Linked DNA regions of Saccharomyces cerevisiae S288C. The gene in region 3 interacts genetically with the main gene of each other region. Each region holds a gene or a part of one and is shown on either strand. Other genes may lie near its edges.

Region 1 (7,819 bases), on a different chromosome or scaffold from region 3:
TCCTCATCCGCTTCTTCATCCAGCAAGGCCTCTTCTTCTACCAAGGCTTCTTCCAGTAGCGCTTCCTCCTCTACCAAGGCTTCTTCCAGTAGCGCTTCCTCCTCTACTAAAGCTTCTTCCAGCAGCGCTGCCCCATCTTCTAGCAAGGCTTCTTCCACCGAATCCTCTTCTTCCTCTTCTTCTTCCACCAAGGCTCCTTCCAGTGAAGAATCCTCTTCCACTTATGTCTCTTCGAGCAAGCAAGCTTCCTCCACTAGCGAGGCTCACTCTTCCAGTGCTGCCTCTTCGACCGTGTCCCAAGAAACAGTCTCCTCTGCTCTACCAACTTCTACCGCCGTTATTTCTACTTTCTCTGAAGGTTCTGGTAATGTTCTAGAGGCAGGAAAATCCGTTTTCATTGCTGCTGTTGCCGCTATGTTAATCTAATTATCTATCACTTTATTTCTAATGGGTTAAGGTATCTATCTTTTATATTTCTTATTTCCTCTTCTTATATGATGCGGATGATTTTATTTCTTCAAAAAACATTTTAAAACTCCTCTTTATTTCGTTATGTTCCAGTTCACTACGACTTCTTTTCTCTTAAAGAGCAAATAAAAGTATATAAATCTATATTAAATGAAAATCAAAAAAATATTTTTTCGATCAGCTCCTTGTTCTTTTCATTTCAAAGTTTTTTACATTGTTACACATGTGCATGAATATATATGTTTGCAGAATATTTTTGGCGACGCTTAACTCGCCATTTCAGTATATGTCGGTGGCGGTACATATCTGGGCAGAGCTTCAGCTTCAACGTGCTCTCTAACTTGACAAAAGATCTGAACAGGATCAATGTTTACTTCAGATTGCTTCCTAATTCCATTGATTCCCCATTCTATCAGTAGCTGTAAACTGAATGTTCTTTTTATCGTGCATGTCTTGAAACTATACAACCTATTGCCGCGATGTCTATAGTCTTCTTCATTAAATACCAACTTTCTTAAAATGGGGTGATCCTTTAACCGTAATTCACATTCAAACATAGAACCATCAAAATTTTCTCGTATTTCGTTTAAGTCCAAAAGAGGTTTATTGGATTTGAGCTGATTCAAATCAATCTCGATTAGCTTCAAAGAAGAGTAATTGCCGTTCGCTATTCCCTGAGATAAATATGTTGTAGTCTCTAGCAAGTTCAGTTGTAGTTTAAGTGGGGTAATTTGCATTTTGCTCAAACTTGCTATATTCCCCTCCATGACTACATAGACCTTGTCAAAATTTTGGCTGCCAGACCTAAACAAGTAGTCTTTCCTGTATATTTGCTTCAAATCTCGACTTCTAACCTCTATTCTCATATTGCTTTCCCCATCAGGCAACCCCATTTTATAAGTAGATGGGAAAACTTTCATACCATTTACTAGGCGAGTAGATTGTCTTGTTGATGTGACTGATGATACCGGTCTCGATCTAATGTCGCCGTTTTCTATCAATATAGAATTAGCTTGAGAAAAGTTCCTGTCACTTTTTATATATCCGACTCCATTAACGACTTTGACGTCCTTTGATGGCACCTTTAAATTTGAACTATTGAAAAATTCATTGTTGGTGACCATACTATTTCCTCTACTATTGTTACTGAAGGCATTAAGTTCTTCATTGTCATCTTCATCAGGTTCTATAATAAGATCTTTTGGCTCAGGTATAAATTCGAACGTCTCGATTTCCCTTATCAGTTTATGGAATGGCTTAAACCAAGATGAAGATTTCCCTAGCTCTAATTGAACTTGCACCATATATATAACTTTTCCAAAAGAGTAAAAATACAAATCCAGATTATCGATTTTATTAAATTCTTGCCAATGACTATTGAACGTAGGTGGGAGTCGGGCATTACTTCTTGTCACAAACGCTACTGTCTTTGCCGTATGATTTTTCAGACATTCAGGCTTTCTGGGAAACTTGTCAAATTGAAAGCTATAATTATATGAACCTGGTTTAACTTTGAACGGCTTGGAGGAGCCATCAAGAGCATTCCATACATTATCTGGAGGGAAAACTCTCTGTTCGAATTTCATTAATGTATGAAAGGATTTGTTGTCTTGGCCCGGCATCATCATGCCATTCTGTTGAAACATGTACTCTTGATCAATTTTTGTTAAGGTCTCTGAGAATCCTTTTAGAATGACGGAAATTTTCCTTATAGATAGCGCTTTTGTTAACTGAAGACTAACTATCCCTGACATTTGATCATTAGAGCTATAAAACTCCCCGTTGTACGGTGGGTTTAAGGATATTGAAATTTTTGGAGCCATGGTTTGACAAACTGTATGGTTCTCAACCTTCTCTAATCAAAAGCAGAATCTTAAATATAAACACTCACAGAATATCCGTTGGTCAATGAAGTAATTCTCCTTTGTACTGGCTGCTTTTTCTCCTCTAGTTTATGTAATTCTACTTTTGGATGGGTGCGACTGCTTTTAATTGATTGAGTGGCGGTGTTAGAAGGGCTGTAGAGTCGAAGGCTTGTTTCTCTCTTACGCACCTCTTGTGAAAAGGGCGTGCACCTTCCCCAGGACCCTCTCTCACCCTCAACCCGCATTTTGCTGAGAATTTTCACCAAGGCCCTAGGTGATATTAGATTCCACCTGACTAATTGCATTACAGCCGACCCAAGGCAATATCAGTTTAATAAAATATCATGTATCTCACCCTCTTCTTGGTATTAGTAAAGAGACGCCTGATCTTGTAACAGTGGTGAAGATTGTACTAGAGCAGAATCAAGAATTTAAAAAGTGTAAAGGCAAGGCAGAGGCGATGTACATAAAACTTCGAAGTAAGAAATATTTAATAGTTCTCGCCACATCACTATGCAGCTATATAAAAACTACTATAAACGTTTGTTTTGTTCCTTACGCACAATATCCTTGCCTAGAAATCGTTTTTGAAATTTAAATTTTTATTACCATTTATTTGATTCGCCTTCAGAAAAATATGGAAGAGTGCATATTTAAAAAGGACTATTTCAGCATATAGTAAAAGTCAGGTTATTTGTTTATTTGCGATATCAGAGTAACTTAAACTAACTATGCAGGGCACTTTTAAAAGGTTTTACCATCCCACGCTTACGCGGATGTCCTTCTTGGATAAATTCCTCAAGCCTATGATGGCAACGGCTTCCCCAAAGGAATACCAGATCAAACAACTGGTCAAGCCAATAGGCTTAACACAAGCACCAAGGAAAAGCACCAAATACTCCCAGGGGAACTCTTTGAGGGATATGTTTGATTCGGAAAAGACAAACCACAGAGTTAAAGAGTTGGCCGTTGAATTCAGCAAATCTGGACTTTATGACGTGCAAGTCTTCCAAAAGACAAAGGGGAAATTGTTTATAGCTCCAGTTTCATATTGGAAAGAAGATAAAGCTTTGTTTTTTCCTCATTTGATAGGAACGGCAATGGATGGTACGAAACAACAGAATATCGAGGATATGTTAAGGGGTAAAACCAGTATAGTGAGGTTATTTAGTACAGCATCTGGCGATAAGTTGAGTAGTTCATACTTCCAAGGAATCGTAGACGATAACAAAAAAACTGACTACTTGACTGAAGCTGATGCGCGTTTAAGTTTAAATGACAGTAACGTCCAAATCATCGAGGTCAATCTTGTAGAAAACGCTGTGAAAAGTGCTCTAGTGAAAACGCTTGCTCGTTGGGCCAATCGCGTTCCATCCTGGCGCCAGCCATTTTATTTCGAATGTTCTAGAGGCCAATGGCCATTTTCCGTCAGGGAAGAGCTCTTTTGCAATAATGTCTTTTCTGGATACGTCTTTCTTGTGGACCAGCAGTTAAAAATTAGGTGGGCAGCTTGCGGGGAGGCTACTCCATCTGAAAAGGAAGCATTGTGGAAGTTTGCCAAACGTCTGTGAAGTTGACGCTTTGTGCGGCGGCCAACAAGGGATGGGCGGCTATTTGGCGATCGTGTTCATTCCCCAAACTAACACGAAGAGCATGAGAGAGAAAAAACAAAAGTGCTTGAAACAGGTAAGACGTTTATCATTGATATCACCAAAGAAATATATAATGCCGGATTCTATTTTTGAACAGCCCTTTGTTTACTGTGGTGTTTGCCACAGAAGAACATCGCATGGAGATCCATTGAGGCTGACCTCATGTGCTCATATCCTCTGTTCGCAGCATTCTCCATTAACATCAAAGGTGTGTCCTATATGCCGTTCGAGCGATATCTCCATCATTAACCTTGTGGAATCTAAACAGCTGCCTACCGACATTAGGATTTTTTTTGAGCCACTGCCCCCACTTTTGGAGTCGTTATATAATGTTTCCCAATTCCAACTGAATGGGCTTTCGAAACAGTGTCAATACTATCAAAATCATTGTTTAAAGTTGAGAGAAAAATGTGCAAGACAACAGCAGCTGCTATATCAGGCCAAAATAGAGTTGGATTCTATGGCGATTCTTAAGAAAAGAATACAGGAATTAGAGTCAGTTTTGAATCATAACAATGTTTCTTCGATGTCAGTTGGTGTGCTACCAACAAGAAATAGCCATCAAAATCATTACCAGCCCCCTCCAACCGTTGATCTGACAGTTGATGATAATAGTTTAGAAGAATTCGAAGCCAAATCCTTTATTAAAAAGTTGAAAAAAAACTCTTCTTTGAGAAATTCTTCAAAAAATAACAATGGAACTGTCACTCCCTCTACAAGTGGTCGTGTAAATAAAAACCAGCCTCTCTTTATGGAGACATTGAATAATCCTAATAGAAATAGCATTCCTCCTCCTGGAATGAACCCAAACGCAAATAGTAATCTACCTAATATTTCGACTATTGCAGAATCAACCAATCTGAACAGATTTTCGTTCTCTCCTGTGCGTGTTGCAAAAGGCTTCGATGGAAAGTTGCCAAATCTTGACATCCTCACGAATAATGGCTCTGTATCTTCCAAAAATATATCAAGATTATCTTCAGCTTCTCTCCAACCCTCTTCGCCTCTATCTTCATCATCAAATAGGCTTATTTTACCAAATAGTAACCTCAAAGAATTGCATCATTCAAATACACCTTTAACAAGTACCTCGACGCAGTTTCCCTCAGCTTTAGAAAAATTAAAAATAACAAGGAAGAGAAATAATACTATCAGCGGTTCGAATAGAATAACACACAACTTGAGCTCACACGTAAGAAGCAGTGGTCTTGCCTTTTCATCTTCATCGAACTCATTGCAACAAAGTAAACTGCCGAAATCAAATATACTAAAGCGGTCCAATTCAACTCAGCAACTGACTAATACACATTTGAAGAGTGATAATCATCTGCCACCTCGCTCAAGTAATACTGTGTTGGGTAGTAGCAAGAAAAACAATAAGTTTAGAAGGATTAGGTAAATAGGTGTAAGGATTCCCCGTGACGAAAACAGCCTTCAGAATAGATAGAGTATGTTACTGTATTATAAAAGTTATTCTATTTTCTTATGTGTTACTATATATGGTATTATTTTAGAAGAAATTTGTCGAATTATGTTCTTCTTAGATCCTTCTTTCCCGCCGTCTCAATACGAAGGCACAAGGAGAGGATTATGAATATATGAAAAGAAAATTGTACAAATAAATAAAACGATGATATGCGCACCTAGGAATAGCAAAGAACACACTCTAAAACGTCTCAACCAAGCACGCTATGTACACACATCTATCCTTCAAACTTATGGGGGTGTTTTAAAAAGCACCTGACTTTTTCAATTGAACATAGCAGGCAACAAATGGAACAGCAAATCCAATAGCGAAGAACCCGAAATGAGATAAGGCGTAAGGTGTCTTTCTTCCTTTGACTTTGAATGGGATATTTTCATACACACCGTCTTTGAAGTGTACTGACCTCTTCATGATAATAGGTCTGGTCATGATATTGCTACTTCTCTTAGCTGTCGTTCTAATCATCTGTTGGCACAACATTGCGTAATGGAAATGGATAACTTTTCTGTTTAGTTTGCTCTGTGGCTCTATCTAGAAAATTAAAGGATACAAAACTAATTAACCATTCTTATAAATCACTAAGCCAGCACAATGGTTTCTACTGCTGTCAGCCTTTATTTTCAATTTTTCTTAGTCCCCTAGCTTTTCCGTAAACACCGAACACTTCTCTCGTATGATTGGTGCAAACCGTTTGGTGAAAAAAAGCACATTTGCATATACAAAAAATTAACAAATCTATCATATAATAATTAAGATATAGAGTTCATGATCCTTGTGCCATTGATCAAGCCATCGGCGATGATGATAAACCTTTTATTGATACCTTTTTTACCTAGTATTTTTTGCAAATGCTTCATTATAGCTATTTCACCCATTGTTACACCTCCGAGGAATACTACGAGTGCAATATCCTCTGCAGCATGAAATGTCCCATTAGATCCGTCTATGGACCGTCTATTATTGCTCTTGATGCTTGCATTGATCTTTTTTGTAATGGTTCCCGGGACCCATATACTCTCTTCGATCGCATGTGAGTCTCCATATAACTGTTCAATTAAATCCTCCGTTTGAGAAACTCTAGGTTCTCTTGACAGTATAAAAGGCTGCTGCGAGGAATAATTATGGAACAAGATAGACCTATCATATAACATCTGAACCAGTCTCATTGTCAAGGGCACTACACCACTGTAAGCAAAAGTGGCTTCCGAGAAGTCATCGTTCTCATTTGTGATTTTATCGGCAGCATGCTCGTCTTCTATGGGTACTGTATTGAACCATTGTGAAATATAACGGTATTCTTTCTGTAATCTTGTTGACTTACTTGTTGTAATATGCAAATCAGTTTTTCCCGTTTTGCTAGTGAAAAATCCTAACTCAGCCAATGATTCAAGTTGAAAGCATTTTTCAATGCCCCAAGAGTCGATCATAAAGGTTCTTAGATATTCATAATCCTTTTCTCGAAGTGAATTTTTACAAAGAGACAATAAACAGATTAATCTGAGAATCTTCTTTTGATCAACCTCGTACTGGTACTGCAACTCGAGTATAATATCTTCAATGTCGTTATTAAGTGTATTTCCCATCAAAATTTCCAGCTCTAACTCTAAGATTTTATTGAAAGATCCGTACTCTTCAGTCTCTACCACTTTCAAAACGTCGGATGATAAGGTTGTGTGATTTTTCAAAAAAGCTTGCCTTTGTTGCAAAGAACCTAAGGAATCAACGAATTCTTTGATTTCATGTACGCTCTCGGCTTTATGCCTTGTATCATATTGCGTTTGTAGTTCCTTTGCCAATTTATTTAACTGCGGCCCAATCGACCCAAAATTTAAAAATTTCAAATCATTCCATATTTTATCTTCCTTATAATTGAAGTTCATGTCTTTCTCCTTTATCTTTATGCCAGAATTGAATTCATATAGATCATCTAGTATTCCTGCATACGTAAGTTGTGTCAACAATGGCGTTATAGGATCGGTATTCCTTTCCAAGATAATCAAGTCCATTTCTAGTCCACAGTTGGTTCGTTCACCATAAAGCGTACCCTTGATGAATAAATCATTCTCTGTTTGATGCTCATCGATTCGTTTCTTCAAAAGATGGCTACATCTCTTAGACAGATTACCTATCGACACAACATTTGTTATGATACTATTAGTTTCAAAAATCAAGCTCTGCAACGAATTGACCATATCATCAACCAGTATTGACTCTGTGGCACTCTGCAAAGAACGTAAGTTGGGATAATACATGTTTACATTTTCCATGTTATAAAGGGAATGAGTCAATAGAACATTTTCATCAATCTGTGGGAAGGGCAAGAGATCCCAAGGGTAAAGGGTATATTC
Region 2 (8,075 bases), on a different chromosome or scaffold from region 3:
CCTCGGAGACCCACTTGAAAACATGAATCTGCAAATCTTTAGACGCGGTAACGATCACCAAATAGTTCTTCTTGCTGGAGTTCGTATAATTGGTAAATAAAACATCCATGGAGGTAATTGCCTTGGTATGACTTTGCAAGGATGCCAGAGGGATGGTGTAGTTAAATAAATCAAATGCGTATAATTTGCCATGATCTGTGGCCACAAACACTATAGGCAAATTGGGATGTAGTTTGACGGAAGTGACAGATGATTCAACATTAATTAAACAGCTTGGTAGATTTCTCGGTATCCATTTCAAAACATTATGTGCGCTGGTGCCGTTACTGGTGGTAGGTTTGAATTGTGCTAGTTCTGACACTTGAGTGTTCAAATCTTTAATCTGAGATACAAGGGTCTCTGTATTCTGCTCCAATTCAATGATTTTTTTTTGTAGTCTAACAATTGAGTTCCACTTCTTCGGTAGCAGTAATTCATCAATGTCTACCATACTTTCGTTACTGGTGTCATTGTTACTGATGAATTCTTGCCGGTCCACTGATTCTTGCAACAGAAAACCTGATAGAGTTACAATTGCATGTCGAACACTTTCGTAATCTTGAGCATGCTCATGTCGTACAGTTTGTTTGTAATTCCAATTCAAATATCGGAGGACACTTTTATCGAGTTCATTTTTCTGTGTATCTGTTAAAGGAAGCTGTTGCTGCCAGTTAGTCATTTCTATTTTTTTCTACACTTACGCACGCACAGGTGTATACCAACAACCGGACGACGAACCTAGCTGCTTTATCAATGGCTATCTGGGCGACGATGGCCCAATACTAAGATTACCTATTACGTTTACACTCGCCAAAAATAAGAAACAAGTGCAATATGCACGACTTGCAAGCTGAAAATATTTCAAAACACCCACATCCCACAGCACAAAACCAGTGCAAATTCCATAAAGGGAAGTGAATTAAATTCAATGGTAGATGAAAGCACTTTTTCAGGAACCGTTTTAAGATCTAATTGTAGTTTACCAAGATATACTAAAACGTCGTTACTCGTTTTATTTACCTACCATTAGCTAACCGTTGCCATGGCTACCGTCCGGGTCGCCAGCGGCTGCTACTGCAAAAGTTGACAACGAAAAAGAGAAAAAAAAAATTCTCGGCACGCAAGACCTGAATGGTTTTTGTTTTCCCCTTCCCATTTTTTTCTTATGGTTTTTCCAGTTTTCTAGAAGCCGGAAAAAAGGCAAGCTACAAAATGTACTACGCGGAGCCAGAATTAAAAACCACGCGGACGGGACGGGCCGTGGCTTGTGACGCCGGATCCCCGCGTATAATCCGTGTCACGCTAAAGGACAAAATCGGTTTATCCGAGCGGTTTACGGGAAGGGTCTTTTGCTATCTCGCAGTAGCGTGTGCCTGGTTATCCCAATACTACCACCACACCTGTGCTTTTTTTATCTTGTACGTGCATGTATGCGTATGTTTTCTTTTTTTCCGTTGGTGCTTATTCGCTACCGTCTCGTTGATCCATGAATCACAAACACAAGCCGGTTCTGCTTACTATACAAAATAGTCTTGTGTCTTGATTCATATATCCGTCAATAACGTAGCCTTTCTTTATTTTCCTTTCGCTCACCATACTCTTGCATTAGTGTATTTTGTCTTTTATATCGCCAATAAGTGCCCAACTCTTCTACCTGACCCCTACGTCGTCGCCGCCCCTTTTCTTTTTCTTCGCCTAGTTCTATTTGGCTATATATTTCAGAGTGACAAATCTTTAAGAGAGACAAACTGAGAATTAGCATATAGAATCATTCATACAACTGTTTACAAACAAGTAAGCCCAAGACAGTTCCCAACCGCTTAAAGAAGTTTTTCCTAGAGGGAGCAAAGTTCGTTTACATTTCACACACACAGTTTTTTTTCACTTTTTTGGGCCTCTTCCTTTTCCCGTTTTTTTCAAAAAGCTTAGAAATCTTCTTCACCTCCTATTTTTCTAGAATCGTGAAGAATTTCCAGATTTAACAGTTTTCCACTTTTTCAATAAGGAAATAGTAGGAATAATAAAAAAAGGATAGTAGTAACGATATACGTCGACTTTCCAGACTGGTCTCGAGCCGGAATTAAATACAATAGCAGCGTTTGACTACCACATTGTAGCTCCGCTAGAATTGATCGAAAACAAAAATAATAACACTAATAATTATAATAATACGGTAGAACTATTTCTCGTATAAAGATGCCTAATCTATTGTCGAGAAACCCATTCCATGGTCATCATAATGACCATCATCATGACCGTGAAAATTCGTCTAATAACCCGCCACAGTTGATCAGAAGTTCTAAATCTTTCTTAAACTTCATTGGTAGAAAACAAAGTAATGACTCACTAAGAAGCGAGAAATCTACAGATTCCATGAAATCTACCACAACCACTACAAATTATACTACAACAAACCTTAATAACAACACCCATAGCCATTCTAATGCAACCAGTATCTCAACAAACAACTACAATAATAACTATGAAACAAACCACCACCATAATATTTCTCATGGGCTCCATGACTATACTTCTCCCGCCTCTCCAAAACAAACCCACTCCATGGCAGAATTGAAAAGGTTTTTCAGACCTTCTGTAAATAAAAAACTATCTATGTCTCAACTTCGTTCCAAGAAACATAGCACCCATTCCCCCCCACCTTCAAAATCAACTTCTACAGTTAATTTAAATAATCACTATCGTGCCCAGCATCCTCATGGCTTTACAGACCACTATGCTCATACCCAGTCTGCTATACCGCCAAGTACCGATTCTATCCTATCTTTGTCCAATAATATTAATATATATCACGATGATTGTATTCTGGCTCAAAAATACGGGAAATTGGGTAAGTTATTGGGTTCCGGTGCCGGTGGGTCCGTTAAAGTTCTTGTGAGACCAACTGATGGTGCTACTTTTGCCGTCAAAGAATTCAGACCAAGGAAACCGAATGAGAGTGTGAAAGAATATGCCAAGAAGTGCACCGCAGAATTTTGTATTGGTTCGACTTTACATCACCCAAATGTTATCGAAACTGTTGACGTTTTCTCTGATTCTAAACAAAATAAATACTATGAAGTTATGGAGTACTGTCCGATTGATTTTTTTGCTGTTGTTATGACAGGCAAGATGTCTCGTGGCGAGATCAACTGTTGCTTGAAGCAATTGACTGAAGGTGTTAAATATTTACATTCTATGGGATTGGCACATAGAGATTTGAAATTGGATAATTGTGTCATGACTTCCCAGGGTATTTTGAAATTAATTGATTTTGGTAGTGCTGTTGTGTTCAGATATCCTTTTGAAGATGGCGTAACGATGGCTCATGGAATCGTGGGTAGTGACCCTTACTTAGCGCCGGAAGTGATTACCTCCACCAAATCTTATGATCCTCAGTGCGTCGATATATGGTCTATTGGGATCATATATTGTTGTATGGTGCTTAAAAGGTTTCCATGGAAAGCCCCTAGAGATTCTGACGATAATTTTAGATTATATTGTATGCCGGATGATATAGAACACGACTATGTTGAATCTGCCAGGCATCACGAAGAGTTACTGAAGGAAAGAAAAGAAAAGCGTCAAAGGTTTTTGAATCACAGTGACTGTTCCGCCATCAATCAGCAACAACCAGCTCATGAATCAAACTTGAAAACAGTTCAAAATCAAGTTCCAAATACTCCAGCATCTATACAGGGTAAAAGCGATAACAAACCAGACATTGTGGAAGAAGAAACCGAAGAAAATAAAGAAGATGATAGCAATAATGATAAAGAAAGCACGCCAGATAATGACAAGGAAAGTACCATCGATATTAAAATAAGCAAAAATGAGAATAAAAGCACGGTAGTTTCAGCTAACCCAAAGAAAGTAGATGCCGATGCCGACGCTGATTGCGATGCTAATGGTGACTCTAACGGCAGAGTGGATTGCAAGGCTAACAGTGACTGCAATGACAAAACGGATTGTAATGCTAACAATGACTGCAGCAATGAATCGGATTGTAACGCTAAAGTTGATACTAACGTCAACACTGCTGCCAACGCTAACCCTGATATGGTTCCCCAAAACAATCCACAACAACAACAACAACAACAACAACAACAACAACAACAACAACAACAACAACAACAACAACACCATCATCACCAGCATCAAAATCAAGACAAGGCCCATAGTATCGCTTCCGATAATAAATCGAGTCAACAGCACAGAGGACCTCACCATAAAAAAATTATTCATGGCCCATACCGTCTATTACGTCTACTACCACATGCTTCAAGACCTATCATGTCCCGTATACTGCAAGTAGATCCAAAGAAAAGAGCAACCTTAGATGATATTTTTAATGATGAATGGTTTGCCGCCATTGCTGCCTGTACCATGGATTCAAAAAATAAAGTTATTAGAGCGCCTGGCCATCACCATACATTGGTTAGGGAGGAAAATGCTCACTTAGAGACCTACAAGGTTTAATACGAACTACTCAATTATTTTCACTTCTTTTTTCGATTAATTTAATTGTATTTTCTATTTTTTCTTATTTTTTTCTTTCACTTTCCAATTGAAACGCTTGACGAAAATCTATATACTATATATACGGAAGAGTATCTATCATATTATACATACAATATAGAGTAACATTGCCCTTTGCTCCAAAAGCAAGAAACATCACTGAATTATTGTTTGAATTTGCAATTAGAAAAGTTTAAAAGAGTTTTTGTTTTAAACAATATGTACAGCATAGATAATGTCATGAATATTTACATCTATTGAATATCTTTCGTAGCTACCAATTCTGAATTATATTTTAACAATGATATATTGTTGACACCCCATTTCTCACTGAATGTATGCTTTCCGTTTAAGGATATAGTGTCATTATATCTTAATGTCCAATAAAGAAACAATCTTTTCAGTAAGATTTCTTTCCCTAACGTGTCATTAACCATCTCATTCAAGTCATCGCCCATGTGATAAAGTTTTCTTTCAAGTATACAGTTAACCAATTCTCTATCACTTAGCGCGATTTTAGTTTTCTCAACATCAGTGTTGAGTATACTCTGCAACAGCAACCAGTCATCGATAAACAGATACTGGTAAATTTTTTCTATCTCATTGCAAAGTAGCTTCTGTAATTTTAACTTTTTATAAATATACAGTTTCCAGTTTGATATCATACTTTGAGGAAAGCTTGTCAGAAAATTATACAAATTCTCAATAGGAACTGCATATGGTGGCTCATACTTAATTGTACCTTGCTTAGTAAACTCTAAGGGACCCAGACCGTAGTTACCTTGTGTGCTTGTTGTTCCCTTGATATATGAGTTGGAAAGCTTCTTGTATCCACCAGGAGTTAAACAATTGTACGGACAGACACGTGGAAAAAAGGTAAAGATCAATACACTTACCTCCTCAAATATGAATACTAAGGTGAAAAATACAGGTAATTTCCAGATTTGATCTCGTCTGATCAGTTCCACCAGTGTTTTCCTATTGATTGAAAGTGGCCTTAATGGGGCTTTTGCTGAAGAACTTGTAGGCAATGATGAAGACGATAGTCTTGTATTGATTTCATGCATTTCTATTTCCCGTACTAAGTTAGCCAATGCACCGTTTTTTATGCTGAATTTCTGCTCTTCGTTTCGAGTATCCCAGAATACTTTTAACGTGTTCTGAATTCCTGTTTTATAGCTTTTTAAAAGATACAATCCAATTCTAAACCAACCTGTCATGAATTTCCTCCATTTGCCAACCTTAGTATCCAATTTTACCTGTTCCAAGATCTCCTGCTTGGGGAACTTAGTCATTGGTAGGGATCGATTAGAGTTTAGAGTAGCGGCCAGAGGCTCTGGAGAATCGGATGGTGTTGTCTTCGCATTCCAATCGACATCCTGTACTATCTGTAGTGAACCTAATTTGTAACGGCTATTCAACGCTTTAAATAGTGGTGCCTTCACTAAACCGTGCAATTGAATAGAATCGCTTTTTATCACCGATGGTGCTATGTATTTTCGTACCAGTGCAACTCGAGAATCCATATCGATGGCATTAAAGGTGTTAACTCAATTAAATAGATTAATAAAGTTCTTTTTAAATATAGAGTAAAATGTTCTTATATCTCGTCACTGTATCAACAGCCGTCTTCCACTTTTCTACTTTTGCATATAATATTCCGTGCATTTTCTAGCGAGATTTATTATTCATCCGCAACAGGTTTGTACATAATAAAGTATAAAAACCTGCATCAAAATAAATGCGAAAAGGTAAGAAAAAGGTTATCTATAGATTATTTAGAATCGAGTAATTCCTGTGCAGACGTAATAGCGGATCTTGCATCACTGACATCTTCGGTACCCTGGTAAGTTTTTAGAAATTGTTCTAAATCCTCTTTAAATTCTCTAATCTTCTCATATAAAGTAGGTAATAATCTTTTTGTGTCATCAAGGACCTCCTCCTGTTTCTTCAAGTCATATGGGTCAACTGACTTGTCTTCTTTAAGTTTTGCCACATGTGCTTCCTGATCTTTCAGTTCTTGTTGGTAGTACCCTTCCTCCTTAGTCAGCCTCTTCAAGGCCTTGACTTTTATATCCAATTGTGTGGGTGCCATTGATAGTGAAATGTAGTTTTCTTGAGTTCAACCTGTTGTGCTTTATGCTCAAAAATGCCCTTATAAGACGCACTGTATCTAACTGCTCTGTTTATATGTAGCCATAGTAGTTCTTCATTATGATCCTTTGCGGGTAATACTACAAAAGGTGCGACATAAGCGGCCATTTATCGTTGAAATTGTGACACTTTTCTATTGATGACCACCTCTGGTGCAAATACACAATGTGTCACCGCTCATGCCATTATTCTACTTATATACGTATGATTTTACTTGAAACCTAGAATAAATTTTTTTATTCGCTGTAAATGCTACTGCTGCAACTTGCTATTTCAATGCAGTCAATTTTTTTTTGAAGAATATTCAAAGCCCTATCCTCGTCATCGTTGTCATCTCCATCATCACTGTCATCGTCAAAAGTCATGACATGCATTATTTTAGGCGGATCGAGAATTACTTTTTTTAATTTTCTTATAGAGAGTTTATTCAAAAGCGTATTGCACGATGATGTTTGTGCAACTTTTGGAAGCTTGTTATGTATATCCAGATCTTCCACTGATACTGTTGAGGGCAAAGTCTCCGCAGCAGTGCAATAGCCTTCCTCACTAGTGCTTTCAGACACAATGGATGATCTCATTGTCCTCTTATTCGTGTTCCATACTATACTTTCTACTTCGGACAATTCCTCATCTGAATTCGATTGGTCAGAGTATGTACTGCATCCAGACGTGGTGTATTCTGGGCTAGAAATGACATCGTTTAATGTGTTAGAATTGACAGGTTTCAACTTTGGTGTTGTTGACGAAAACAAAGTCTCTGTGTCGTCAGGGCAGACGACATATGGTACCTGAAATGCCTCATTTTTTTTAGCTATTTGTTTTGAAGCGCATATATCGATAATTCTGTCAATTTCTGAATTTAGGGCAGTAGAATCGCTTGTAGAAACGTTTTCATAGGCTGATAGAATTTCGTCAAACAATATTTCACTACCGCTTTTGCCATACTTATTTTTTCTACAGCAATCTTGTGTCTGTGTTTGCATTAGGGAGACCGGATTAATAGGAGTAAGGGCTTTTACAGGCATTACAATTGGGGCCGGGCGAGAGACAAACACTTTATCAATAATATGATCCGAATGTGTCTTATGCCCTAAAGATTGTACTACTGCAGGCTTTGACAGCGTCGGCCTACGTAAACTTTTTCTTTGAATTGGTAGTGATTTTACCTTCTTTCTTTCTCGTAATGGTAGAATCGTGCTTTGAGGACAAACTGGTCCCTTGGGAACTTGCATGTCAGTAAATTTTTTCTCTCTAATCACCTCAAGTTGGGAGCGTGGCCTCTTCTTGAAATCATGTAAGAACAATTCTGGAACAGACTCTAACCGTTTCTTCAGTTTCAGTGTACCCCCAAATCTTTTAGACAACCT
Region 3 (8,420 bases):
GAGTTGCAAGAAATAGAAAAGACTCCGATTGCGCATCGCCAGAATAAAATTTCACAACCACACTTTTTGGCTGAACTTTTTATTACCTGATTAAACAGAGAGAGAAAAGGTAGAGGTCAAAATTTTTTAAGCAAAACTAAAAAAGATGCAAAATCACGTGCTGAAAATCTAACATAAGGGTTAAGATTAGAGTTTTATAGGACTTGTTTTGTAATATTTCAAATACGAGCTAACCCTACTGATTTCAATTAGGTCTAATTTAGGGTTGAGCTGCACTGAAATTTCGGAAATTTTGGGTTATTTTAAATGAGACAGAAGAACTACAGAGATACGTTCTTCAGACTTTAAAGCTTATCTCCACAAAGAATTGGTCAAGAAATCATCCTAGAAAAACACGTTTGCTCACTCGATCTTAATCACATAGAGTGCTGGAACGGGAAGAAATGGGTATGTGCCTCGGTTTTTCTCATTAACCCCTTTTGATCCATAACGGTCCTCTTTTGTTTCCTTTTTTTTTTTTGTTTTAGTATTTTATGTTTACTATTTTCTTCTGTTTCAGTCATACGTAGGAATTATTGCATGAAAGAGGATATAATATTCATGTGGATTTTTAAGAAAATAGATCAAGTTTAAATAGCCACTAACAATTGAACAATGCTCTCTCTTGGCCTCTTTTCTTCTTTTTTATCGTTTCTCTAAAAATCAAGCTGATTAGACATGGTCTTGCAATGTTTTTGCTTTCTCTAATCAGCTTGGTTTTCCGCAAAGAAGAGAAAGTCACGGAATTGTCTACATATGTTTCTATTCAGGAACAAATAATACATCTAATAATAATGGCACTACGAAGAAAATGTCCCTAGAAGAATTTCTAGGGAACGACACTTTAGGCGAGTCAGTATGGGATGAGGAAGATATTAATTTGGATGCTATAAGCAATACTACGAATATTGACATCTTGAAACAAACCAAGGCAGGCGAACATCAACGTGATGGTCACCAACAGCACCCACACGGTGGTCATGGACCCATGAACAGATCACGTTTTTCTAATGCAGGGCCTTTTGGTGGTGGTAGCATGGGGGACTTTGCAAATCATCACCACCCGCTGCAGCATCAGCAAGGTCCTCCTTATATTGTGAAGTTTTCTGATTTACCACCGAGATTTTCCAACTTTGACATTGAAGATCTTTTTCAAGCAAAGTTTACCAAGTTTATTAAGTTCAAACTGTTTTGGGAGATAAATAAAAATCCAAGTATTTCTACTTTGAAATCGGGGTCAATCTTTGATCAAAATTTCAAACGTGACTCGAAGGTAGCATTTGTCGAGTTATATACATCCCGTGATATGGACAAAATTTTGAACTATTGGACCACTCCTTTGAAGGAAATTTACCACATTACAACAGCGCCCGCAGAATTCGAAGATTTTAAGGATTACAGCACGAAGGTGAAATTATTAACAGACCCTAAAGACGATGCTGGCAAACCATTCATTACTAAGACTCAGCGGTCAAAATCCAATCCTTTTGGAAGTGCTAAACCGGTTGATACGCAATCGAAGATTTTGGACATTGAAGAAAAAATGGAAAATTTACACGTGGAAGATACAACAACCCTGAGGGCATCATTAATCCCTAGTAGTGATTCTATGGCAACCACTGCAACAGGCAGCAAGATCACAATCTTGAAAAAGCAGACACCTACAGAGGAGGAATCACATTCTGCAACCCCAACTCCCAAACCTTTAAGTTACTCTGAAGTAGTTGAGAGATCTGTGGTCAATGAAACTTCCAAGAAAGGAACTCCATTAAGCAAGCTTGACTCACCAGCTCTTGAACTACAATCTAAGCCCGATAAATCGGACGAGTTCAAAGGTGGCGATGAACAAGGCTTTGAGAAAGGTGGCGACGATAAAGCTCAATTAGATGTCTCAAATGATAAAGATAAAGGTTCAGAAACCGATGTTGATAAACAGTTCACTTTCAAGAATGTGGAAAGGGAACATAGTATGAGCAGAACCAAATATAACGGAAACCATAATAACAATAATGGCAATTTTAGAGGGAGTAATAGATATCGTGGAGGCCCCAATGGCAGCAGTTATAAAGGTGGGCATAACAATCGTGGTAATCGCGGCGGATATCGTGGTGGCAGCTCATACAACAACAACAACAACAACACTAATGATAATAATAATAATAATAATAATAGTAGTAGTAATAATAATAACGGTTCAAGATATCATGATCGACAAAACAATGAAGAAGGGTTAACCTCGGATTCATCTTTAGATGCCTCAGGAAATAAAAAGAATGATTTCACGAACTCAACATCCAATACACAACAATATTCCATTTTCAAACCAGCAAGTGGGTTCCTTGGCCAAGGTAATAATGATTCTATAAGGAACAATGGACGCGGTAACTATAACAGCAGCGGTATGAATGGAGGTTCGAGAGGAAGAGGATTTGGCAGAGGAAGGGGATTTGGCAGAGGCGCATATAACAATCGAGGTAGTCGTGGTGGACGTGGAAGCAGCGGTAACTACTCCAACTACAATAACAGAACAACAGACATGCCTTTATGAGTCATGTACTGACCCATTAATTTTCTTTTCTCTTTTTTTTTTTTTTTTTTTTTTTTCCTCTATTTCCTTTTTTTGTTCTAGTCGGTTACGCAGTTCTGAGTAATGTAATATAGCGTTCCTTTTCCTCTCAGATTTTTTTGACCTTATTTTGTTTCCACTTTTTACTACTTATGCTGCTTTTTGTCCATTTCCCCTTCAGTTGTTTTGAATTTTTTTTTTAAAAAAAATTCGTCTTTCTGATTAATCAATTTTGATTATATATTTTCTCTTGATTAGTTCACAATTTTTATAGGCCCTTATTTCTTAAAGAAGTTTTATGAAGTTTCGTAAGTATTGGGGGGGTTGAAAATAATCTCTCACGTTATACGCAATAAAAAATTAAAATTAAGGAGAACCAATCTATAGAAACGAACCATTGAATTTAGCTATATGACTATATACCATTACGTAATTTATATAAACAGCTTAATATAGCGAAAGCAAAGTAGAACGAAATTTCGGAGAGTTCTAGATTGTATAGAGCGAATGAGCATTCAATACACACGCGAAGGCAGTAGGCGATGAAAGGAAGTTTTTTAATGTCATTAAGAAAAAGATAGGGAACTTCTATTTCCTGTCTTTCATATATATATATATATATATATATATATATATGTGCATATGTACATCGTTGAGTTGTTCATGAAATAATGAATATAATACTTCTGGATTTTTTAGTCAGTAAATTTACTGTTGAGATTCGTTATCATTTGTGATGCTTGTTTCCATCATTTGCTGTTGTTGATTAGCCAGTTTTCTTTCCTGTCTACCTTTCTTCATAACTTGCTTCAAAGCTGCACTATCTAGTGGATCTAACAATTCAAAAGAGCACAATAAACCTTCGCTGACGCTCATTACAGCCCCCCAATTATCAAATTCACCACAATAATTTGGCGCGGAAAACACCGTAACGAGACTTCTATCATTGAAAAATTCATAACCGTCTTCCACAACCATGTGAGCTCTACAAACCAAATCAAACCCAAACTTGTTCAAGAATTTGTTAATTGCCACCTTATTATAACAGTAACTTACACCACGTTCGTTATCCTCCCATTCGTTGGGTGAATCTGTGGGATCGGACCACAAAAGATCATTAATTAAGCCAAAATCTGGTACATCAGTAGGCCTAACTACATGTCTGATTTCATCCATAGAATTTAAAACTGGCGACAATCCACCATGAACACAAAAAATCTTTCCGGCTACGATAGCAGCTAATGGTAATGTATTAAAAGTATCGATGAATGTCTTCCAGATCTTGATGTTACAACGACGTTTACATTCATCATAAAATCCATAAACCCTTGTGACGTTAGCACATTCATGGTTGCCTCTCAATAAAAAGAAATTTTCAGGGTATTTTATTTTGTAACAAAACAATAGTAAAATAGTCTCCAGTGACTGTTTACCACGGTCCACATAATCACCTAGGAATAAATAGTTCGAGGATGGTGGGAACCCACATTTGGTAAAAAGCCTTAAGAGATCCCCATATTGGCCATGAACGTCGCCTACAATTTTTACAGGAGGTGATAATTCTAATAAGGAAGGTTGAGAAAGAAAGATTTCACGAGCCTTGATGCAAATCTGTAAAATTTCATTGTTCTTCAAACAAACATTTTTTGTTCTCTTAGCAGCGTAGCCCGCATCCAGTAATTTTTGGATAGTTTCATCAATATCGATAGGCTTTTTGAATTTTTTTGGAGCGTTTTTGTTTCCGGAAGATTGCATTATATCATTAAATTCCTCATTCGGATCTTTTTTGCTATCTGTTATATTATTATTTTTATCATTAACATTTTCCATTGATGCATGGATATTACTCAATTGAGATGAATTTTCAATGTCATCATCATTGCTGATGTGTTTGCTCGGGTAAATATCGCGACTTGAATGGTGATTCAATGAGGAGGTTGAATTAGAGGTAAAGTATTCACCAGAGTGATCTGTTAGCTTGGACAAGCCTGGAGAGTTTAATGGGGTGCTGTATGCGGTATTACCATCTGATCCAAACGAAGATTTCCTACTGTGTAGCGAAGATGCATGAGAATTTGACCGGGTTAATGCCTGAACGAGATAATTCTCCTGATTGTTAGAGGAGTATGATCCATTGTTAGGCTCTTCATGGGTCACATCTGATTTCCTTCTTGACACTGATCCGCTTCTTATACTGGACGGACGAGAATTCGAAGATCTAGAAAACCTTTTAGTGTGCGAGATGTCGTTGTCTTTATCATCATTGTCATCATCGGTTAAGGCGTTCTCATAATAGGTAGATGAGTATGAAGATTTATGCTTGGATACGTGTGTGCTACTATTGTTTGTTTTTAAAATGGGTGACTTGGGTTCCATTTGGATCATTGAAGGTGGTAAATCAGCAGCAGCCTTAGTATTATAACTTGATCTTCTAGAAGTAGAAGGCCTCTTAGTAGAGGATGATGAAGGAGTAGTTAACAATTCGTTTTGAGAATTTGAATGCGAGTGTGAGCTAGATGGGAAATGGTAACGATTCGTGTGAGAGCTATGTCGTTGGTGATTAACCTCAAGATTGGGCTTTGATGGAGTGGAGGGATCAGGGACGTTTGAATTAGTATTCGTAGTGGACGAAGAAGGAAGAGATCGCCTTGATCTTGAAGATTTATTTGATTTTGCAGACTTCACAGAATGGGAAGTCTCGGTTCTCGACACTTGAGGACGAGGATTTCTCGAGGAGGAATTCGAATGTGAATCCTTTTTCGAAGATTTTGAACTTGAATTACCCATTTTGAAAAGGAAGGAAAGATAAGCAGAGAGTGGTTGATTTGTTGTTTTATGACAAAGCCTCTAGGGGAAAAGAAGCGACTATAACGATGAAATAAAAATAAAACGATAAAGAAAAGTATAATCAAATGTATTCCAAAGAAGTACTTTTATATATAATCTTTATATTTAACTTGAAAGAAAAAGATTTAACATGTATTGCCAAAACAAACAAAACTAATAATGGAAGCTATTGTATTGTGCTTTTATGTTACCCACCTGCCAATGGTTCACAAGAGAAAGCTGATTAACAGAATTAGAAGATCTGCAGTAATCGTTTTCTTTTTTTTTTTTTCATTAATTTATATGCTATCCTTTTAAAAATAGACATGTCATTTCAAACGACATGTTAAAAATTATATATATGTTTATATATAGATTGATATATGTTGGAGCCGTTGGACAATTATGGGCAGCTATCTGAACATGGATCCCTGCCCTTCTCCTTGAGTTCTCCAGTAAGCGTTAGGCAAAGTGTCCGACTGCAGACGGTAGAGTCTCCACGCCTCACGGATGTGTTCGGGCAATAAGGGACTGTTGTTATATTTCTCGATGCTTACATCTAGTTTGTTGAATTGGAGGACGAGCTTATTGTACTGCTCGATGAGTTGTAGCTTCAAGTCCTGTGAATTATGGTCTGATTGCTGTAAGGATTTGGACTGTAGCAACGAGTTGCCCAGCGTAGTTTCGCGCTTGTCTACTTCTTCATCGTCGAAGTAGAAATCAGGTTCGTCTTCGGGAACGCTATCGGATTGATAATCTTGCTTGTATTGCTGGTTTTCTATGATGGAGAAAGTCAATTTTTTTAGATATTTTTTCAATTTATAGCCTATTTTGGTCCTCTTATCAAACTCTATGCACATTTGACTTGTCAACCACTTATTCTTCACAATCATGGCCAATTCGATTATCTCACCAGCGTATATTTTTCCCACCGCTTGCAGAAAAACACGAATATTTTCACTTATAGTTTGATTAGCTACTGTGCTAGCCAGTTTTTTGACCTGGGTTTTGTTTAGGGATGTTCTATGGAAAACTTCAAACCGATTAGTTTGATCTTTATCCAAGTTGGTTACCAAGAGCTTGAATTGTTCGTCCTGCGCAAGTTTTTCATTTTCATCTTCGTTGGTATTGGTGTCTTCGTAATTGCTATTTTGTGTTTGCTGTTGTAAAATGTCTTGTGGAAAGATCAGGTTTTCTGGGACTTTGTTGATAGAGTCCGGGTCTTGCTGATTTATCCTGGTTTTCTGGTATTTGTATTTTGGATATTTATTTAATTGGTTGTTGATTGATGTACCACCCGTTCGCAGGTTTTGCAATTTCCACGTAACGTAGTCCTGGTCCTCACTGATGACTTGGTCAATCATTTGTTTTGTGGAAAAATAGTTTGCTATTGTCAGTATTGGCGGATAGTTCACTTTCGGGATGGTGTCCAAAGGACCTTGAGGTTCGGTCATCGTTGCGCTGTTGAAGCTCAAACTTACTTTGTGCTCTTCATTTATATGGATAATTATCTCTATATACCTCTTCTTGATTTTTCAATTTCTTTCAACTTTTCAGTCGAAGAAATGGGAATAAGAGAAAAAATTCGGTAATGAACTGAACAGAGATGAGGTCTCGAAGAGCCAAGAAATAAAAGGTTAAGAACCAACATGGAGATAAACCAAGCGGCTGAAAAAGAACAGGAGTATGTTCACAAAGTGTATAATGAGATAGCTCCGCATTTCTCGCAAACTAGATATAAGCCATGGCCCATAGTGACTCAGTTCTTGAAGACTCGCCCAATGGGTTCCATCGGTATCGACGTCGGGTGTGGCAATGGAAAGTACCTCGGAGTGAACCCTGATATATATATTATCGGTTCAGATCGCTCAGATGGTCTTATTGAGTGCGCCAGAGGAATAAACCCATCGTACAACTTACTGGTGGCAGACGGGCTGAACTTACCACACAAAAACGAAACATTTGACTTCGCCATCTCAATTGCTGTAGTGCATCACTGGTCTACAAGGGAGAGACGTGTTGAGGTGATCAGGCACGTTCTATCGAAGCTACGTCAGGGCGGACAAGCATTAATATATTGTTGGGCTCTAGAACAGGGCAGCTCCCGTAGAGGTTACCATGAAGGTATGGAGCAAGATGTCTTTGTCCCCTGGGTTCTTCCCAAGAGTAAATCCAAACCAAAAACTAAATCAACGCCGCCTGCTAAAGTCAAGACAAGGCCAAAGCCAAACTTAATGAATATTCCCCCAAAGGAGCGTTCCGAATACTTGCAGCGCTGGAAGGAGGAACAGCAACGCAGTAAGTCTCTTGATGATAACGACGAGAAGCAACAACAAGATCAAGAACAGGAAAGAGAAGAGGTAAAATACCGATACTATCACTTATACCGAGAGGGCGAATTGGCTGAGGATTGCCGCCAAGCTGGGGCTGCCGTTCATAGTGAGGGCTTCGAGCGCGACAATTGGTGGGTGGTGGCCCAGAAGAGATGAAGGTGATATATAGGTAGACAGTGTATTTTGTAGCAGCAGGTATTACGATAGAAGTATGTAATAGCTTTCATAGTGTAATCGAAGATGCCAGTAGTCAATCATGAGGATAGTGAATTTCACCTTTCGCACACAGAAGAGGACAAGTTAAATGAGTTCCAGGTCATCACGAATTTCCCCCCAGAAGACTTGCCAGATGTGGTGAGACTGTTGAGGAACCATGGTTGGCAGTTAGAACCAGCATTGAGCCGATATTTCGATGGAGAGTGGAAAGGCGAACCAGACCAGATGGGAGAGCCCACTCAAACGTCTACACCCATGGCTGAGACCTTGGTTCCTCCCGCGTTGGGACCTAGACCGTTGTTATTTACAGCCTCACTGCCCGTGGTCAGACCATTGCCAGCGAACTTCCGCAATGATTTCAGAACAATTGGGCTAAATGGACGCTCTAACACTGTGTGGTCCATGTTTGAATCTTTTAGTTATGATGGTAACCCCTTTCT
Region 4 (8,158 bases), on a different chromosome or scaffold from region 3:
GCCACAGATATGGCATTGCATTCTCAGTATGAGGATAGATTAATGCATGAAAACCCAATGAAACAAATCACTTTGATATCTCTAATTATTAAAGCTGCAGACATCTCTAATGTGACGAGAACCTTGTCAATATCAGCACGTTGGGCATACCTCATTACTCTCGAATTTAATGATTGCGCTCTTTTGGAAACATTTCATAAAGCTCACCGCCCAGAACAAGACTGTTTTGGCGATTCATACAAGAATGTTGATTCTCCGAAAGAAGATTTGGAATCAATTCAAAATATTTTGGTGAACGTAACAGACCCTGATGATATTATCAAAGACCATCCGCATATTCCAAACGGTCAAATATTTTTCATTAATACGTTTGCTGAAGTATTTTTCAACGCATTAAGTCAAAAATTCTCAGGATTAAAATTTTTAAGCGATAATGTCAAAATCAATAAAGAATACTGGATGAAACACAAGAAACCACAATAGCAAGAATATCAAAATTTCTTGTACCATTCATTGTATAAACATATAAATATATACATTTACTACTAGTATATTTCCTTTTGTGAAGTATTTGTGCTAAAATTCATTACCCATTTTATTTTTTTTTCAAATATGCGTTCTTCCTTTAATATTGTATAATAATAACCCAGTTGATTATGGCTATTGTCTGTTTTAAGTGATATATATATATATATATAGATACATACATTAAATTTATTTTTCTTTGATTAAATTAATGTTTTTTAGTATAGTGATACATATTTCCCGAGTTAAAAGTTAAGTAAATAGTTTTATGCCATTAAACGGTGCAAAAACAGGTGTAATCTAAAATATTAAACTCCATAAAAGAAAACGTTAAAATTACAAAATAAATGAAATATGTTCCCTGTGTTGGTATATGCAAAGTAAATAAAAATTAAATCTTTATGCAACGTCAAGACAATCAACTTTATTATGCCAGATTTAATAAGCAGATCTATCAATTAAATCACGTTCTTTGTAATCAATAACGATTCCAAAAGCCTTCAACAATTTTCTCCTTGCACCCAAGGCAAGAACGCCTTTTTTTTCTAAAGTCTCGTCATCTAAGTAAATCAATTCGATCCACGGGGTTCCGCTTAAGGCATCTGAATACTTGTGTAGTCTTAACGATTTTAACCACATGGGTATATTTTTTAGTAGCTTGGGGTCTGTCAAACTCTTTGGATTCATCGAAGAGTTACTCGATAAAGGAGTGTTTCCGTTAGATGATGTAGATGTCGATGTGGCACTTGTAGGACCAGCATTAGGATGCGTAATGGTATTATTGAACACGTTCTGGTTGGACTTATTCAAATCAGTTCCTGATGGTCTTGAAGTATTCGAAAAATATGAGGTGGTATTATGCAGAGGATGATGCAATGAATGATGGTGATGAGAATTGTACTCATTTCCCATGTTAGACCTTTTCTTTGGTTGGAAAAAAGAATGGGAACTTGAGAGAGAGTGAGAAAGATAGTTGGGATTCTCTGATGGCAACTTTTTATATTTGGTACTGTTACCGTTGTTGAATTGTTTCTGGACAGGAATGAGATTTGGGCTTGAATTAACATGAGGCTCAGCCGACTTGGACCTTTGACTAGCGTCGGTGATGTTGTCATATATGGGTTGGCTAATTGGTATTGAATGTGGCTGAGGGGACCAATTTTGATACAACAAGTTATCGGTATTTTCAGGGTCATTAGTTATAGGACTTGAAGAAAAGACTGAATCAATATTCAAAATTTGTGTGTCATCCCTATTAGGTATAGGTGATGCAATTGCAGGTAGCGGTGGGGAGATGAAGGGAGTGTTTGTCAAAGTCTCTATTTTTAACTTAGTATATTTCAAAACATCATCATTCAAAATGGAAAGGATATTGTCCATTACAGTATTTTGTTGGCTGCTGTTCAGCATGGATATCCAAGAACATAATTGGTTGATGTCTTGGCTGAAATTGGTGCCCATGTTCGGATCGTTTTTTTGGGATTGAGACTGTTGTTGCGATTGACGGGATTGCGGCAAAGGAATTGAACCACTCTGCGATGGAATACCCAAAATATTATTTGGAGATCTCTGAAATGAATCCAAATACATAGATGTTGAAGATAAAGTAGATTGCAACGCCTTTGGAGATTGCATCATGGGGGAAACGATAGCAGAACCAGCTGCTGTAGACGAAACTGTTTGAATATTAAGGGAAGGCAACGACGCCTGCTGTTGCTGTTGTTGCTGCTGCTGTTGTTGCTGGAGCGGCTGAGCCCTGGTTCCCGCAGTGTCTAGCATAAAGGATTGCTGATCAAGCATGTCATTGAGTGACATACTATGGGATTGAGGGGACAAAACATTCGCGGTCACGGATGAATTGCCCTGGTTATTGCCAGAATTGCTGCCCGGATTGTTCTTGTTTATGGCAGAAGATTGTGGTGATAGCAAAACGGCGCCTGGATGAGCTCCTCTAGACATGTTATATGGTGACTTGGAACCTGTGGGGAATTCCTCATACGGATGTTTCATGATTTCTTTGCTGACAATTACTTTATATGAACAGTTTTTCTCTTCTGAAAACAATATCTATAGTATATACAGTGATCTAGATTGCCCAAGGGACGAAGTACCAGTGTGACTGCAAAACACAATGTATTCGAGACAATCCTATGGTAGTAGTAGTAGTCGTTGTTAGATATCTCATCGCCAATTTGCTACCAAACTTATTCTGGAAAAAAATAATGAAAAAAATTTGCGTTTTTTCTTTTTCCAACAGATAATTTGCTGTGGTGCACGGTCAAATGGCAGCTGTATAACCATTAACTCTCTCATTGTGGAAGAGGTCTTCTAGGCACAACATCGATGAGAAAGTCAAACATGTCACTCTTTTGCAGGGCCTCTGCGATATCTGCCTTCTGCAAAGTTCGTCTTTTATTCCTTTCTGCCACGCACCAAGCTCTCATAGTCAGTTCTGTAATAAAGATCTCACAGGCTTTGGCGAAAATGATGGGGGCCTCTGCACTAATCATCTTGACATCTTCATCCGTCTTCATGACCTTGCGGATTCTCGCAAATGGTAAGGAATGTGATTTGAAGTCATCTTGATGCTCGGAACCAGGTTCATTCGTAGACTCGATCTCGTTGATTAATTCTTGCCAATAACGGATCATTATCTCCTTGTAGTGGCCCACCAATCCCTGACCAACGTTCCTAAACACATCATACTCTTCATCGTCCTCGTCCATTTCTCCGTCTGCGCCGTCGCTGTTTCCATTATCTTCGCCTTCAAGCGATCCTCGACCACTTGGCGGTAGATTAGCTTGGTCATGGCCCGCCTGGATAGCTTGCAACTCCTGTACCATCCGGAACTCTTCCTCAGAAACAGGTAGCCTCGTATTTTCCCCTTCCCCTTCGTTTTCTTGCAGTTGTTGCTGTTCTGAATATTGCCTTGGCATATTCATTTCCTCTCTCTGAATCATCGTACTGGGTTGCGGTCCCTCCGGGAGCGATTCTTGAGGTCCTTGTCCTTGTTGTGGTGAGAAATTCCTATCAGTCATTATGCGAGTAAACAATCCTGATGCTGCAAATGCGTCACAACTCTTACATTATCTCCTATTCCCCTCTATTCTTCTTCTTTGCTTACGCGGTATTATAGCAGCTAAGGAAGCTTAATCTCCGGAAGCAATCTTAAGGGAGCCGTCCCACGCAAATTTAAGTTTAACTACGGAAAAGGGAGCACAACACTCTTCGATTTTGACATTTCGGGATTTCTACACTCTAGTAAGTATTGCGCTAGGAGGGACCATGATTTACTATGAGGACTTGGCTATGGGGTGCTCAGAATTGCATAAGTGAACTCGAGGATAGCTTTGGGCACTATCACGTACTAAGTGATATGTATTGATATGTAAACCTGCAATGAATGAATGGATTAAAACGGATCTTAATACTGCATAAAAGAGGACGGCAAGAACAGCTGAGAAGCGGTACGCATCTACACAAAGTATGCCAAGAGAATTCAAATCCTTTGGGTCTACAGAAAAGTCTTTGCTGTCAAAAGGACATGGAGAGCCTAGTTACAGCGAAATATACGCTGAGCCTGAGAACTTTTTAGAGATTGAGGTGCACAACCCTAAAACTCATATACCAAATGGGATGGATTCGAAGGGGATGTTTACAGATTACGAAATAATATGCCGTACAAACTTGCCAAGTTTTCACAAGAGGGTATCGAAAGTAAGGAGACGATACTCAGACTTTGAATTCTTCCGCAAATGCTTGATCAAGGAAATTTCTATGCTTAATCACCCAAAAGTCATGGTACCTCATTTACCGGGTAAAATTCTCTTGAGTAATAGATTTAGTAACGAAGTCATTGAAGAGAGGAGACAAGGTTTGAATACCTGGATGCAATCGGTAGCCGGGCACCCGCTTTTACAATCTGGTTCTAAAGTTCTCGTGAGGTTCATTGAAGCTGAAAAGTTTGTCGGCTGAAAAGAACTCTTTTACGTGAATAAATAATATAGATTATATAAAAGAATGAATAGAAAAATTTAAATAAATAATGAATAAAATAATTAAATAAATAATGAATCCTGTGATTAAGTTAGCGTGTACTTTGGTCCATCTCCACCTTCGGGTACTTTCCAAGTAATATCTTGTCTGGGCGCCTTAATATCACAGGTCTTGCAATGGATACAATTTTGTGAATTGATTTGCAGTCTCGTACCCACAGGCGATTTTTCATCTTTGACGAATTCGTAGACACCTGCTGGGCAGAACCTCGATTCAACACCTTTCCAAACGGGAAAGCTTCTCTCGGCGTACTTTACCATATCTTGTCCAGGAACCCTCAAGTGACATGGTTCATCATCATCATGGTAGGTTCCGGTTCTAGACACGGAGGTCAATATATCAAAGGATATCACACCATCAGGCTTGGGGTATTCTATCGGTTTGTACTTGGAAGCAGGTTCCAAAATTTCACCGTCATTTTTTTCATCAAATTTCAGTGTCCACGGAACTTTTCCCTTCAATATCAAAGAATCGATTCCAGAGTAGATCATACCACCATATCCACCAAGTTTCCCGCTGAAGGACGGTCTAATATTACGCACTTCGTATAGTTCCTTATATATCGATGATTCTTTGAATGCACTTTCATATGATTCCAAGTTAATAGTTGCCTCCTTATCAAACATAGCCATTTTGGCGTCTTCGTCTTCAACCTCTTCTAAGACAGGTAACCCTTTTATGGACTCAAAGATACTTTCAGCGGCAAGTAATCCACTCTTCATCGCAGTATGAGTACCCTTGATCTTTGGAACGTTCATGAAACCCGCGCTAGCCCCTACCAAAACACCACCAGGGAAATTCAACTTGGGTACAGATTGCAGTCCACCTTCATTCAATGCTCTTGCAGCATAAGCGATACACTTACCTCCTTCTAAAACTTTTGAATAGTATGGATGATGTTTCATCTTTTGAAACTCTTTGTAAGGTGAAACATAGGGATTCTTATAATCTAACCCCACGACAAGGCCCACAGTGACCAGCCCATCACCAAAATGGTACTGGAAACCACCGCCATAAACATCATTTGTCAACGGGTACCCCATGGTATGAGCTGCAAATCCCTTGTTAAAATTCTCCGGCTTGACTTCCCAAACTTCTTTAATACCTAATCCATAAGTTTGGTGCTGTCTGCCTTTTCTTAAATCATATTTTGCCAAGGCTTGTTTTGTTAAGGAACCATGACAGCCCTCTGCTAATACAGTTTGTCTAGCCCAAAATTCCATCCCACGTTCGAAGGTTTCCTTAGGCTTACCGGACTTCGAAATACCAGCATCTTTAGTAATTACACCCTTAACGGCGTTGTTTTCATCATATATGAGATCCGAGACAGCTATTCCGGGGTAAACTTCAACTCCTACTTCTTCTGCCTTTTCTCCTAAATATCCGACGACTTGGTTCAAAGAGACAATATAATTACGTCCTTTATTGATCATTTGAGATGGTTCTGGAACGCTGATCGCCCATTTCCCCTTTAAAAATTTCAAATGTTCTTTAGTTACCAACGTAGCTAACTCCTTTGGTAACGGAATGCCAATGTCAGACTTTTCATCAGGGAATAGTTCTTTCCACACTCCCGGTTCCAATATAGCGCCGGAAACAGTTTGTCCACCCAATACACTGGATTTTTCAAGAACAACGACACGCAATTGGCCTGTTCCTGACGAATTGTCTAACTGTTTTAATTTGATTGCTGTTGCTAATCCCGCAGGCCCTCCTCCAACTATACAAACATCCACATAGTCGCGCGCCCTTGGTTCATTTAACAACTCTTTCTCTTCTTCAGTAAGATTTGCTTTGTTCAAAAACCTACACGACAAGCTAAACTTTCTCGTCATATCTGTCCCTAGAGCCAAATGACGAGATTTTGCGGAAATCGTCATTCGGATCCCTCTAATTAAGTTCTCGTTAGTGAACTTAATCATTTTCCCTTTCCCAGAGTGGATTTTCCTGTCTAGCTTAAGTTTGTTCTTTTATGTGGCCTGAAGTAACAGTAAGTATATAACGTATTGAATAAATTAATTAAGTGGGGACCACTACTACTCAGTCCGCTTGAAAAAGTTGAATTTTTCAGTTAACCTTTTCTTTTCTACAGTCATGGCAAATCGCGATCCATTGGTAACAAAAAATAAAGCTTCCCGCAAATTTCGGATAAACTAACTGTGGGGTAAATGAAGATCAATCCATATATATCCGGAATAACCGAAAACAGCCAAAAAAAAAAAAATTACTGTCATTAACAGTAAATTAGTCCACCTCTAACGGTTTAGTTGTTTTTCATTTATTTATTTATGGTTGTTTATTTATTTAAATATTGTAGTGAAAGTTAGAACTAGCTAAAAATTGTCCAAATGAGAGGAACACATATTATTAGTTGATAAAAAAAAACAACGACATAGGTGTAGAGCAGCCGTTATGCTCTTGTAAAGGGAGATAAAAATCAATTGAATATATTTTCTAGGTCATCTAATGTGATTGATTCAGGAGATTCAATATCATGTGTCAAAAATCCATTTCTCACAATTTTCATCCAATTCGTAACTTCGTTTCGTGATTCTTGGGAACTTGGGTTTGATTCTCTTCCGTTATCCTGACTGGAATTGATGTCGGATAAAGATTCAGCAGAAGAAGCAGCTGCACTATTAACTGGTGAACTACTACTACTGTTATATTGAGAGCTCTCTGAAGAGCTCTCAATTGGAGTCTGTGTAGAGATTACTTTATGGATAGCAGCCAGTTCAGAAGAGCTACGTGAATTTTTCTTAAACCCATTTTTCGGCAAAAGCTTAGAAAGCCTTGGTGCAGCGGCAGCGGCAGTAACATAAGTATTTGACGATGCATTATGCGACAGAGAAGAATCTGGCGAAATATTCTTGGAGCTTGCAAATGTAGAAAGAGATGCAGAGGAACCCTTTTTGGGGGTGGATAAAACTGATAAAGATTGGGATTTTGTTTGTTTGCCAGGTTTAGTAGTTTTGGTTTTCTTTGGCTCGGTCATTGACTCGTTAGTATCTTCATCCATGTAATTTCTTTTTTTATTATTGTTTTTACTCTTCGATGCCGAATTAGGTGTCAGTAATTGTTGCTGATTATTACTCATCGATGGGGAAAGATTTAGTGACACTGGAGAAGTGGAATAAGGTATGTTGAATTCTGGACTTAATGAAAAGGCCAGATTCCCTACATTCAAATTTTTTGAGAAGGAACTGTTAGAAGACATATTTTTCATGTCCGTCATAGAACTTGAATAACTGTCATTGTTAACTAGCTGGTTACTGCTGGACTCCCTTTTTTTCTTGCCATTTGAATTAAAGTCGCTTGTATCACCGGAGGTCTCCAATTGTTGTTTAAGTTGCATCGTAACAGCTTGAGCATGCTCCTTGTAATCGGGAGATAATATGCCTCTGTATATATAGAGCATCCTTCTAGGAGATGAATTAGACCATTCCCTTGATAAAGCATAAGTTAACGTTTTCTCACCTTTTTCAATTTTTTTAACATAAGCGTTCAGTTTTGCGGAAATTAAATTTGACAACTTGGTTGATAAATTGGACATATCTGGATGTTTTTGCAAAAGCAA

Evidence for each region.
Region 1: mutations in TRM9 (region 3) and COX8 together harm fitness more than expected from each alone (negative genetic interaction), as found in Saccharomyces cerevisiae (2 studies listed by BioGRID).
Region 2: mutations in TRM9 (region 3) and PNT1 together harm fitness more than expected from each alone (negative genetic interaction), as found in Saccharomyces cerevisiae (2 studies listed by BioGRID).
Region 4: mutations in TRM9 (region 3) and HAP5 together harm fitness more than expected from each alone (negative genetic interaction), as found in Saccharomyces cerevisiae (2 studies listed by BioGRID).

What each region holds. Positions count from the first base shown.
Region 1 is NC_001144.5:904,015-911,833, forward strand, and holds COX8 (cytochrome c oxidase subunit VIII), read right to left. Parts: upstream 5,952-7,819; coding exon 5,715-5,951; downstream 1-5,714. Other genes in the region: CCW14 (Ccw14p), read left to right, coding at 1-426; ART10 (Art10p), read right to left, coding at 735-2,291; ATP10 (Atp10p), read left to right, coding at 3,065-3,904; SUMO ligase CST9, read left to right, coding at 3,936-5,384; tethering complex ATP-binding subunit VPS33, read right to left, coding at 6,221-7,819. UniProt on the Saccharomyces cerevisiae protein: Component of the cytochrome c oxidase, the last enzyme in the mitochondrial electron transport chain which drives oxidative phosphorylation.
Region 2 is NC_001147.6:819,028-827,102, reverse strand, and holds PNT1 (Pnt1p), read right to left. Parts: upstream 6,081-8,075; coding exon 4,809-6,080; downstream 1-4,808. Other genes in the region: PAC1 (Pac1p), read right to left, coding at 1-718; YOR268C (uncharacterized protein), read left to right, coding at 1,171-1,569; putative serine/threonine protein kinase HRK1, read left to right, coding at 2,236-4,515; RBL2 (Rbl2p), read right to left, coding at 6,329-6,649; DSE3 (Dse3p), read right to left, coding at 6,945-8,075. UniProt on the Saccharomyces cerevisiae protein: Probably involved in mitochondrial export. Confers resistance to the anti-pneumocystis carinii drug pentamidine. May act by the removal of pentamidine, or its damage targets, from the matrix by an active-transport mechanism.
Region 3 is NC_001145.3:236,145-244,564, forward strand, and holds TRM9 (tRNA (carboxymethyluridine(34)-5-O)-methyltransferase), read left to right. Parts: upstream 1-7,080; coding exon 7,081-7,920; downstream 7,921-8,420. Other genes in the region: PSP2 (Psp2p), read left to right, coding at 444-447, 810-2,587; PPZ1 (salt homeostasis regulator), read right to left, coding at 3,314-5,392; TATA-binding protein-associated factor TAF11, read right to left, coding at 5,845-6,885; UBX2 (Ubx2p), read left to right, coding at 8,005-8,420. UniProt on the Saccharomyces cerevisiae protein: Required for the methylation of the wobble bases at position 34 in tRNA. Appears to have a role in stress-response.
Region 4 is NC_001147.6:1,005,566-1,013,723, reverse strand, and holds HAP5 (Hap5p), read right to left. Parts: upstream 3,564-8,158; coding exon 2,835-3,563; downstream 1-2,834. Other genes in the region: 3',5'-cyclic-nucleotide phosphodiesterase PDE2, read left to right, coding at 1-483; VTS1 (Vts1p), read right to left, coding at 964-2,535; SNX3 (Snx3p), read left to right, coding at 4,012-4,500; CIR2 (electron-transferring-flavoprotein dehydrogenase), read right to left, coding at 4,608-6,503; GDS1 (Gds1p), read right to left, coding at 7,019-8,158. UniProt on the Saccharomyces cerevisiae protein: Acts a component of the CCAT-binding factor, which is a transcriptional activator and binds to the upstream activation site (UAS2) of the CYC1 gene and other genes involved in mitochondrial electron transport and activates their expression.